Linked DNA regions of Caenorhabditis elegans. The protein of the gene in region 1 interacts with the protein of each later gene in a pairwise test. Each region holds a gene or a part of one and is shown in the gene's direction. Other genes may lie near its edges. The genes, in order: gmn-1 and cdt-1.

Region 1 (4,106 bases):
TTGGATCAAAATATTTGTCATCTAGATATCGATTGACAGCAGCGATATGCCGAGAAGTGAATCGAAGTTTTTTGCGGGGATTTTCTGGAATTTTGGGGATTTTTTTGCGCAAAAATTACTGTACCAGGTCTCGCCACGACAAATTTTTGTTTTATGGAAAAGGTATGCGCCTTTAAAGGTTACTGTAATTTAATACGGGGTTCAGGCCTTCCTCATTGAATTTTTCGCGTGGAAAAGTGTCGTGTACTCCTCACGGACTATAATCGAGCCGCGATGCGACACGCAACGCGCCGTAAATCTACCCCAGATATGGCCTGGCCTAGTTCGGCAAAAAACTCTTCCATTTCAATTTATGGAGGGAAGCCAGAAATCCGATTTTTTTTAAAGTTTGTTTAAATAAAAAATTTTTAATTTAAATTTACTTGAAATTGAAAAAAATCGAAAATCCCGCAGCAACGAAAGTTTAAAACTACAGTACTCCTTAAAGGCGCACACCTTGTTCAATTTAACTAAAAATTGTCGTGTCGAGACCGGGCACCGTAGTTTTGGCGCAAAAATCACGAAATTGTATTACTTTCAATCTTTTTCGACAAATTTTGTGTAAAAAAGAGAAAATTTTTGGAAAATCGAGATATTTTTCAAATTTCTTAAGAAAAAAAAATTACAAACCAGGCATCACTTCGAGTAGGCCGTCAAATTGGTGTTGCAACACCATTTTGAACAATCCTGTTCCGCTCATAGAATATTAGTTCTGTAAATCTTAAAATTAACTACATTTGTGAATGAAAAATACGATTTTTTTAACGATTTTGGGGTTGGTTGGGGGAGGAAGTTGGCATTAAAATGGAAAAAAAGTGAATTTTATATACTATTCTAGTAAAATAAAGTTATGGTGTATCGATCGATTTTTTAAAGAGCAATTTAAAATACAAAATATACGATATATTGTAAAAATGTTGTAATTAATCATTTATTGGTCAGATTTCATTCAGAAACTAACAATAATTTCTTATATTATTCGAAAATCTCTATAATATTGCATGTAATTGCATTTCAACGGAGCCGTGACGTCACGCGGCGCACTCGCGCTCCACCGCACTTCACCAATGGCGGGTGTTTCGAATCTAACACCTGTCTCTCAACACCATTTTCACCAATTTCTAGCCAGTTTTTATCGATTTTTCTCGAGATGAGTGATTTTGTAGTGCTCGGGGAGCCAACAACCAACAATTTATCCCCAGAAGTCGGATGTCAGACTGAAGAGGTAAGTTTTTTTCAAAAAAAAAAAAAAAATTGAAAAATATTTATTTTAGATTGCTGTAGAAAATATGACAACACAGACAGCAGAGGAATCGATTACAAAATATCGAAAAAACACGGAAAATCCAGAAATGTCGTATTGGGAGTCAATTGTTGCAAATCGACAGAATGAAGTGGATCGAATTAAAGCGTTGAATGAGAAGGTTTTATTTTTTTCCAACGCGATATATTAATATACAGTTATCGATTGATTTTGCAGATGGAAGTGGAGAAAAGTCGAAAATCGGAGATGCTCGACGCGAAACAGACTGAATACACGCGACTCTTCGATTTGGGAAACGAAAAATTGAAAAAATCAAGTGAAAACGGCGATTCCGAAGAAGAACCCGACACGAGCACCTGTAAATAATTCGGATTAATCCGGATTCTTCTAATTTTGCTATAAAAATACTTATTTTTCTGTATAAAATGCATTTTTGCTCCTTGTCGATGTCTTTTTTTCATTTAATTTCTCTGTTTTTATCATCAGAGCTGGTTATTTCTTCTTTTTTTTGTATTTTTTCATTTAATTTCTCCAAATTGCACCGAAAAATCGATTTTTGGGGTACGGTAAATTTAAAGGCGCAGGGTTCGAAATTTAATTTCTCGTGCTTCGTGGCGAGACCCTACGGGCCTAGGGGCCCGCGTAAATCTATTTTTTTGAATTTTGAACTCAAATTTTCACCATTTTTCGCCGCAATTTCAATTTTTTCTGCTTATTTTTGTGTAATTTTCAACAAAAAAAATTTCAGATGAGCAGAATCGGCCTTCAACAGCTCAACAACTCGGCACGCAACAGTCCATTTGGCTCCGAGAAGGCCACCGGCACCAAGCAAATTCCAGAACCGCTGAAGCTCACCGCCCAACTCAAGAAATATCAGCCAATCACACCGTCCCCGCTGGCTTCTGCCACCACAATCACACCGGTTTTATCTCCATTCGACGTGTTCTGTGATGATGATCAAGAGGCAAAAAACGTGGAGACGCAGATGTTTGAGGTATGAAATGATGATTAAAAAGATTTATCGGCATAAATATATCTACAATGCTTTGTATATTATCGCTAATTCATCAGAACACGAGAAAGCAGCTGGTATAATAGATATTTATTAAAACTTTGAAATTTTATTTTAAAAAAATCAAAAAAATTGCAGTACGGCACAGTGTCCACGCAAACGATCATCAACGTCCCACACGTTCAACCAAAAATCACAGAAGCCGATCTAACATCTGAAAAACCAACTGTAAACTATCTTCGCGTGATGGCTGACCGTCTGCAAATGGATCTGGACGATGAAATGGACAGAAATCAGCGTCTCGTCGCCGAACTCGGAGATCTCGACGAAAAAATGCGAAAAATCGACGATGACACGGAGATTCTTCTCGAAGTGCTCGCCGACATTGACGAGGAGCAACAGACGGATGAGGAGATTGGCACCGCGCAACTTTAAATTACTATCCACGCTCTCCTCAAAGCCGAATAATTATTAGAGCGCGCTTGCTACGATTCGCGTTTCTGTGCCCGCGGTGTTTTGCCTTTTCATTGAAAATAGCAGATTTATCGAATTTTTAGCTTAAAATTTTTTTTCGGCTTTTTACGAACCAACCTTTTGTTAAACAGTGAAAATCGAATTTAAAATGACTAAAATGAACTTTTTTCGTTCACTGGCTGTAAAATGGTTTGAATTTGACGACATCAACGGGATTTTTCTTATTTTCTAAATATTTTTCAATTAAAAATCGGTTTTAATGCACTTGTAACCTAACGTTAGAGTCAAAAATAGTTTAAAACCGAATTCTAATCGAAAAATATTCAGAAAATACGAAAAATCCCGCTGATGTCTTCAAATTCAAACCATTTCACAACCAGTGGACGAAAAAAGTTCATTTTAGTCATTTTAAATTTGATTTTCACCGTTTAACAAAAGGTTGGTTCGTAAAAAGCCGAAAAAAAATTTTAAGCTAAAAATTCGATAAATCTGCTATTTTCAGTGGAAAAGCAAAACTCAGCCGACGCTGAAACGCGAAGCGTAGCAAGCGCGCTCGAATAATTATTCGGCTTCGAGGGGAGCGTGCTACCTCGTGTTTATATATATCTTGTGTATTTACTTCATTCCTTTTACGAGTTTTACCAAATTTCAACGCAATTCAATTTTAAAATGTTTTTTTATCAAATGAATTTCAAATTCTATGCGACCCGAAGTTTAAAATAATTTAAATACCAGCAACAAAACCACAAAAACAAATAATTATGCCCTAAACATTGAAGAACCGGATTTGTGAATAAGTGTCAAGAAAACAATAGAAGAGACGGCGGATATTAGGAAAATCACGTCGAACCAGCGATGGTAGAAGTTGAATTTCAAATCGCCGAGAATTCTCGTCAGAATCGTTCGATACTCCTCGGGCACGTTCATACGCATTAATAGGACGCTCGAAACGAAGTACATTCCCTGAAAAATTCAATTTTTTATTGAAAAATCGAAAATTTAATTGAAAAATTGGTGAAAAAACTGTTAAAATGCTCTTGAATGACTCCAAATTTTCCCCTGATTCCGAATATCTATGTGAAAAAATTCGAACAAATTTCCCTGATTTTATATTTCACCTTGAAATCGCGCCCGAATCATTTTTTTCAAATGCGCGCTCACAGATATTCTCATTGGAGCGCGCTTGCTTCGTGACGATTTACGGGAGCTTTCCGTTTTTTAAAATTTATTTCGTGCGTGTTTCCTTAATTTTTGTCGATTTTTTGTAGGTTTTTTTTCTGAAAATTTTTTTTGTGTCAATTTAACATTTATTGAGCT
Region 2 (7,520 bases), on another chromosome or scaffold:
CAAAACAAGGCTCTGCAATTTTCAATATGCTATAATCCAACTTTTTGATCTAAACTTTATATAGGAATGTAATTTAAAAAAGGTCTGTTCCATGTGAAAAAATTATTTATTTTTTTTGAAAAATTTGAAATAGGCCTCGCACCATTTGAGGCCTTTTTCAAAATTTTCAACAAAAATAAATATTATTTTCAGATGGAACATAAATTTTTTCTACATTTCTATATCAATTTTAGATCAAAAAGTTGGATTATAGCATATTAAAAATGGCAGAGCCCTGTTTTGATTATCTTTAAAAAATTTAATTTGGAAACTCATAAATTTCTTGCAAATTGGCTCGTAAAACCTGCAAAAATCAATATTTTCAAGATATTCAAAATGAAATAATTTCTGAGACTTCACTTTTTTGCAATTTCTTCAAATTTCCCGCATTTCTATTCCAATTCCAGATGAGACCCATACCCGCTCTGGAAAACCATGAACGTTGGCATCGAATTGACACCGTTCTCTGAGCTGGTTTTCTCGCAGATCTCCACATCAACTTTCAGAAAAACTGCTCCAAGATATTGATTGGACAGAGCTTCAAATGTTGGAGCAATCATTTTGCACGGTCCGCACCAGACTGCAGTGAAATCGACAATCACTGACTTGAGACCAGCGAGGGAAAGCTGATTTCTGAAGTCTTCGTCGTCTTTCACGTTGATAACTGGCATGGTGTAGGGGAGATGGGCTGAAAATTAATTTAATATTTAGATTACTGCACTTATTTTTTTAAGGTGGTGTAGTCGAATTTTTTTAAAATTGCTTCATTAGACTCAAAATTGTCTCAAAACACCGAATTTCATGATGAAACTGCTTGAAAACTTCTCAAAAAAAGTTATGACTGCTCAAAAAATGGCCTAAAATTAGTTAAAATTTGAAATTAGACCGACTTTTCAAGCGGCTAAAAACTACCTTTTTTGAAATCACCGTCAAATTTTGAGTATATATAAAATGTAATTATCTTGCGTTTTCAACTCGATTTAGGTATTTTAAAGTCGATGGACGGCGAGATTTGGTTTAAAAAATTTAAAAATCTCGCCGTCCATCGACTTCAAAATATCTGAATCAAATTGAAAATGCAAGATAATATAATTGTATACTCAAAATTAGACGGTAATTTCAAAAAAGTTAGTTTCCAGCCGCTTGACAAGTCGGTCAAATTTCAAATTTTAACTAATTTTAGGCCATTTTTTGAGCAGTCATAACTTTTTTTGAGAAGTTTTCAAGCAGTTTCATCATGAAATTCGGTGTTTTGAGACAATTTTGAGTCTAATGAAGCAATTTTAAAAAAATTCGACTACGCCACCTTTAAAATACGGATTTTTAATCGAAAAATGCAAAATAATCTCAAAAAATGGGAAAAATCCCCAAAATCTAAAGAAAAATTAAAGAAAAAAATTGGGTTTTGAAAAAAGTTGTTATTTTGTAGTTGAATTTGTTGAATTTTTCCCGCTGAAATTCCAATTTTTAAGCTTTCGCATCATTTTTTTTGGGATTTCTGGCAAAAGCTATTGTAAATACTCCCGGAACAATGCACGAATATATTTTAGCTATTTAATACGCAGAAATTGTGAAATTTCGTTATTTTTTGGGCGATTTCTGGGGAAATTTTGACCGAAAAATTGTAATTTCTGGGATCACCGCTTCCAAAATTGTTCAGTTTATAGTTCTAGGAGCAAAAGATATCTCATTCAGAAGAAAAAACGAAAAAAAAATTTCAAAAAATATAGGAATCACGCCAATTTAAATAATTATTCATTAAAAAAAAGATTTTTTGAAGGTTTCCACAGTAAAATGCATTCATTCTCAAACTGATTTTTGGGTAATTTTGGGCATTTTACACGCTAAAATAGGTGAAAAGCACTTTTAAACGCTCTGAACACAATTTTAATATGCAAAAAATAGTATAAATTCCGGAAAATTAAGAAAATCGGCATGAAACGTGGATTTGTCAGCATTCAAAATGAATGCCGGTGCGGCGAGGGAGTGCACGAAGCGTGGAGACGCAGCGGACAACAAACGCGCTCCAATGGACAAAAAGTGCGGGAAACCGGGACTGTTCAAAGTGTACGCTTTGTCTGTCGTCTCTCCCATTTATTTTTTGGTTTTCGCGAATAATTTCGCTGAAATTATTATTTATTCCTGATAAAAATGAGTTCCCGGGTGACTAGATCCAGGTCCCAGACTCCGCAGACTGCTGTAACCGACTTTTTCAAGGTAAATTGGAGTTTGAAGTTATGAATTGCAATTATTTAATGTTTTTTTTTCTTTTTCAGACCACCAGAAAACCGAGAGCAAGAGGAGAAAAGAAGATTATCGATGAAAGCATCACAAAGACCACTACAATTAAAGAAGTACAAATTCCTGCTGCTCCAATCGTCGAGAATAAATCCTCCCGAACTCGCGCTCGGACTCCATCCCGTCAAGCGGAATTATCGAGTTCCGGAACTCCGCCAAAAAAAGCTAGAGAAGCTGAAGCAGAAGCCCCTGAGCTTCCCAAAATCCATGAAGATATTATTCTGGAAAATCCGGCTCCTCAGAAGTCAGCGATCGATAAGCTAATGGAAGCATCCGGCCCAGCGAAAAAGAAGGCTGGAATTCGAACTGTTGCAGATTTACAAGCAAGAATAGCTGCAAAAGGAGCAGCTAAAGCGATTCATGAGCAAAATTTGAAGAACAAAACGAAGCAGGTCGATGATCACGTGGAATTGCTGAAATCTCCGAAGAAACCAGTTATTGTTGAGCATCACAAATCACCTCAGAAATCCAAGGCCGCTCGTAATCTGTTCTCACCGAAGAAGCCAGTTCCAGACTATATTATTCCCGGCTTTAATGTCCTGAAATCGGCCGAAAAAGTTCGCGGAGAGCAGGATGATGCTCACGAAGAAGAGGGAAAACGAATGACTGCAGAGTTTCTGAAGAGCTCACGGCTTATTGATGAAGTTAAGGAGAGTGCACGTCAACGGATTGAACTTCCAACTGCGTATGAACATCTCGCTGATACTTTCAAACGAATCGATCAGATCACTGCGATCTTTATCGGTCAGAATCGAAGCTGTGTGGTTCCTGAGTTGATCAAGAATGTTAAGAATACGTCTGGAAAGGATTTTTCCAATGAACATTTGTCACAAATTCTTCATGTATATCCTCAATCATATCATATTGAGATGCGTGAACAGCGAAAAGCATTCGGCCAGGGCGGGAAGTATGAACTTGAGGTTCGACCGAATCTCGTGGAAGGTTCGTAGCTTTCGGTTGGCAATTTGCAATAAAAACATTTAAAAAATCAGCTATTTCTGACGTATTCCATTAAAATTTAGTGTCAGAAAATAGAAAAAATATTATATTAATCGTAAAATAGCATTCTTTTAAGTTTAAAAAGACTTATCGATTTTTCTTCTCTGTTTGATCACCTCCACACATTTTTGAACTCGAAAATATTTAACGATTAATAAAATATTTCTCTATTTTTTAACAGACCCTATTCATGCTCCTGATACTGATTTTTGATGTGAAAATTTTTCAAAAAATTCAAAAAAAAAGCCCTGGTTTTATATTAATTTTTGGAAATTCTAAAAATACTAGCTTTGCTCAAAAAAAAACTGAAAAAAAACACAATTTTCTCTTCAAAAAGTAAGAAAAAACACAGCTTTTTACCAGATGTTCGAAAAAAAAACTTTTTTGTTTAAAAAATCCAAAAAAAAAACAATTTTTTAGTAAAAAAATTCGAAAAAACTCAATTTTAAGAAAAAAATCCGGGAAAAAAACACCGTTTTTTAGTCATAAAATCGGAAAAAAGATAATTCTTTATTCAAAAAATCCGAAAGAGCTCAATTTTTTAGTCATAAAATCCGATAGAACAGCGTTTTTTGTAAAAAAAACCGAAAATACCGAATTTTTATTCAAAAAATCCGAAAAAAAAACACAATATTTCAGTCAAATAATCCGAAACAACGCTATTTATAAATTGGAAAAAACACCATTTTTTGTTCAAAAAATTAGAAAAAAACAATTATTTTTAATTTAAAAAATCTGGAAAAAACACAATTTTAAGTCGAAAAATCGAAAAAAAAAGACACATTTCTTTAGTCAAAAAAATACGAAAAAACACCTTTCTTGTTCAAAAATCCGAAAAAAACGCAATTTTTTAGTCATAAATGCGAAAAATACGCAATATTTTAGTTTAAAATATCTGAGAAAAACACAATCTTTGTGGCCAAACATTGAAAAAAACACCTTTTTTTGTTCAAAAAATCCCAGAAAAACGCAATTTTTTAGTTATAAAATTCGAAAAAACCCCAATTTTTAGTCAAAAAAAAGTTTCCTGCTTACAAAAAACCTTTTTTTTTGCAGATCTACGAGGCTACATTTACGAAAAATCCCCCACCGACGGCGACACCGAAGATCTTCCACTAGTCTGCCCATCAAAGCTGCTCTCCCCAAAGAAAAGCCCCAGAAAACAAGTTCAACCGGCTCTCCGAAAGCCAGAAGTCGACGGGAGGATTCGCCTGGACGCTGCTCGTCAAAGAGACCGAGCTCATGTTTTCCGTTATAAGTTGGCCTCGATTGTCACGAAATGTCATACGGAATTTTTGGAATCTCAAGGATTATGTGCTTCTTCGAATATTAAGAGAATGCATCCATTATTCCGACTTGACAAGCATTGTCCATCACTGCCGCAGGTGAAACTTCCAGAACCTCCTCTACAGAAATCATCGATTCATATTGGAATGAAAGAAGCTTTAGATAAATATATGGATCAAGTATCTCTACCATCATTTGTTCAAAAAGCTTATCAAGACTTAAAATCTCCACTGAAATCAACTACAGGAGCATCTGGAACAGTTCCAATCTCGCCGAAAAAGTTCTCCGAGATGCAAAAAGAGCAGAAGAGCCAGGGAGCAATGTCACTTTTAGAGCGTATTCGTGCGAAGGAAGCAATCAAAAAGGCGGCTGAAGCTTGTATTGATAAGGATCTTGAGAGAAGAAAGCAACGTCTAACACTGCTCCGTGACCGATATGTTCGAATTGTGTGCAATCATTATACGGCGAAACGGGCTCAGACGATGGAAATTGATGTGATTTGCAAATTTGTGCAGTTCAGCTCGTCCAACTCGTCTTCGATTCCTGATATTATGGATCATTTGAGATTGTTGTGTGAGGTCGCACCGATGTACATCTCTGAAGCTAGTTTAATGAACAAAAAGTTCGTTTTTTCTCGATTTTGAGCCATTTTTGCGAATTCTTTTGCATCGAAATCGAAAGAAAAAACTTGAAAATTGGATGATTTCGGCGAACTTTAAAAAATTGTTTTCAAAAAATGTTGAAAATTCGCAAATTTTTTGAAATAAAATGTCTGAAAAAATGTTTAAAATTCATTGAAAAATCGGAAATTCTCTTAAAAATGCTGAAAACTCTAGAAAGCAGCAAATTAGTAAAAAAAAAATATCAGAACATTTGCAAAAATGGGAATTTTCAGAAAATTCAACTTTTTTTTTGAAAATTAAAAAAAAATCTCGATTTCGGGTCATTTTTGCAAATTCTTTTGCATCGAAATTGAAAGAAAAATCAATCTTGAAAATTTCGCAAGTTTTAAAATATAATTTTCCATAAATTCGCGGTGGTTTTTCAGAAATTTTTGAAAAATATCAAAGAATTTTTAAAAAGTTATGAAAAAAATCGGAAAATTTGATTTTAAAAATTTCTTTGTCTCGATTTACGCAGACGGTGTACTCCACGAGGAGAAGAGTAGTTTTTGGATATGGTGCTCGATTTTGTATGATTTCTGCAAATTTTTTTTCTTTTAAAAATTCGTCTGAAAATTTTTGAATTTTTTTAAAAATTCATTGAAAAATCGGAAATTCCTGAAAATTAGCAAAAATGTTTGGAGATTTTTAAAAAATTCGAAAAAATTGTTTGTAAAAAATCCTGAAAATTCCCAAAAAAAAAATTATGACAATTTTCTGCGAGAGTTTAAAATATTACAGATTTTTTTAAATTTTGAAAAATATCTAATATTCTCGAAAAATTCGCCTTGGAAAATTTCGAAAAATTCATTTTAAAAATAGGAAATTCAAAATTACTACTTTAGCATTAAAAAAATCATAAAAATTCTCCAAATTTTTTAGAAGTTTCCAAAAAAAAAATCGCAAAAATTAAATTTGTGGTTTTCCAACAATAAATGGACCAAAATCAAAAATTTCCACCAAAAAAAACATAACTTCTCCTCGAGGAGTACACGAGCTCCGTAAATCGACACAGACATTTGTGAAAAAAATTACTTGAAAATCGTAAAATTTCAACAAAAAAAATTCTAATTTTTTTCCAGATACTTCCGATTCACCGACAACAACATTGAAGCAATCAACGAGTTGCTCGATGAAGAGCTCCAAATTACTCAGAAAAAGATTGATGAGCAACGAAACACCCAAATTGCACAAATGAGCCACCACCACACACCACGGCCATCCAAAGCAGCAAGATCTCTCAAATTTCATTAAAAACTAATTTCTAAGCCATTTGTAACTAATTTTCTCACTTTTCTCTCATAACATTCCTGCAATTTTTAATTTTTTTCCAAAGAATTTCCAGAAATTTCAAAGATTTTTGAGCATTTTTCGATTTTTTCACGAATTTTCCGGAAAAAAATCGGAAATTTTTCAATACAATTCTCCAAAAAATTCCCGAAAAATCACAAAATTTCCACTATAACTTCTCGAAAATCTTTGTAATTCCTGAACATTTTCAAAGAATTTCTAAAAATTCTCAATTTTCCAGAATTTCTTTGAAAATTCCTGAAAAAATCGGAACTTTTCCAAAAAATCCGTCACTTGTAACTATTTTTCTTCTCGTTTTTTCTCTCATGCTCTGTACCATTTTCCAATTTTTTTTCACTTTTTTCCAAGTTATCACTCTTGCAATTTCAAATTTAAAATTTCAAATAAATCAAAACGTTATTTAGAAAATTAAAATGGAATTAAAATTTTTATTCCAAGCTGTTATTCATTTTCAGCGTAAAAATTATTTTCCGCTTGGCGCATTTTCGGTGCATTGCTGGCGCATTTCGCGATCCGTTTTTCAACCGTTTATGTATTTTTCATCATTCTTCAATGAAAAACTAAATTTTTAAAACAAAATTCAATTTTTCTATAATTTTTCAATTCAGAAAATGCTCAGTAATCGCCTCGTTGGCTTTCTTTGCTCCCGGTCATTCACAAAATGCACAAGCCTGCCGAGCCGATTCACACGTGACGGATTACGGGATCGATTACGACAGCAGGAGCTCAAAGAGCTCACGAAAAATCATCAGATTAAGCAGGCGTTTAGTCCAGACGCTAGAACTGTCAGGCCGATGTCGGATTTGTGGAAAGTACGGGATTTTTTATTTTTTAGTTGAAAATTAGTAAAAAAATCAGTTTTTTCGGCGAAAATTGAAGTAGAAAAGGTTTTTTTTTTGTGTAAAAAATATCAAAAATTCATTG

Evidence for each region.
Region 2: the proteins of gmn-1 (region 1) and cdt-1 interact in a two-hybrid assay, tested with the Caenorhabditis elegans proteins (one study listed by BioGRID).

What each region holds. Positions count from the first base shown.
Region 1 is NC_003281.10:12,223,277-12,227,382, reverse strand, and holds gmn-1 (Geminin homolog), read left to right. Parts: upstream 1-2,051; coding exon 2,052-2,297; intron 2,298-2,453; coding exon 2,454-2,750; 3' UTR 2,751-3,495; downstream 3,496-4,106. Other genes in the region: Y75B8A.19 (RING-type E3 ubiquitin transferase), read right to left, coding at 1-84, 670-715; Y75B8A.18 (Clathrin light chain), read left to right, coding at 1,190-1,264, 1,314-1,463, 1,520-1,669; gphr-1 (Golgi pH regulator), read right to left, coding at 3,549-3,752. UniProt on the Caenorhabditis elegans protein: Inhibits DNA replication by binding to the DNA replication licensing factor cdt-1. Its interaction with cdt-1 prevents the cdt-1 loading of the mini-chromosome maintenance (MCM) complex onto DNA and therefore DNA replication licencing.
Region 2 is NC_003279.8:3,222,638-3,230,157, reverse strand, and holds cdt-1 (CDT1 Geminin-binding domain-containing protein), read left to right. Parts: upstream 1-2,053; 5' UTR 2,054-2,190; coding exon 2,191-2,256; intron 2,257-2,315; coding exon 2,316-3,279; intron 3,280-4,392; coding exon 4,393-5,245; intron 5,246-6,367; coding exon 6,368-6,539; 3' UTR 6,540-6,998; downstream 6,999-7,520. Other genes in the region: txl-1 (Thioredoxin-like protein), read right to left, coding at 460-710; rom-5 (rhomboid protease), read left to right, coding at 7,208-7,408.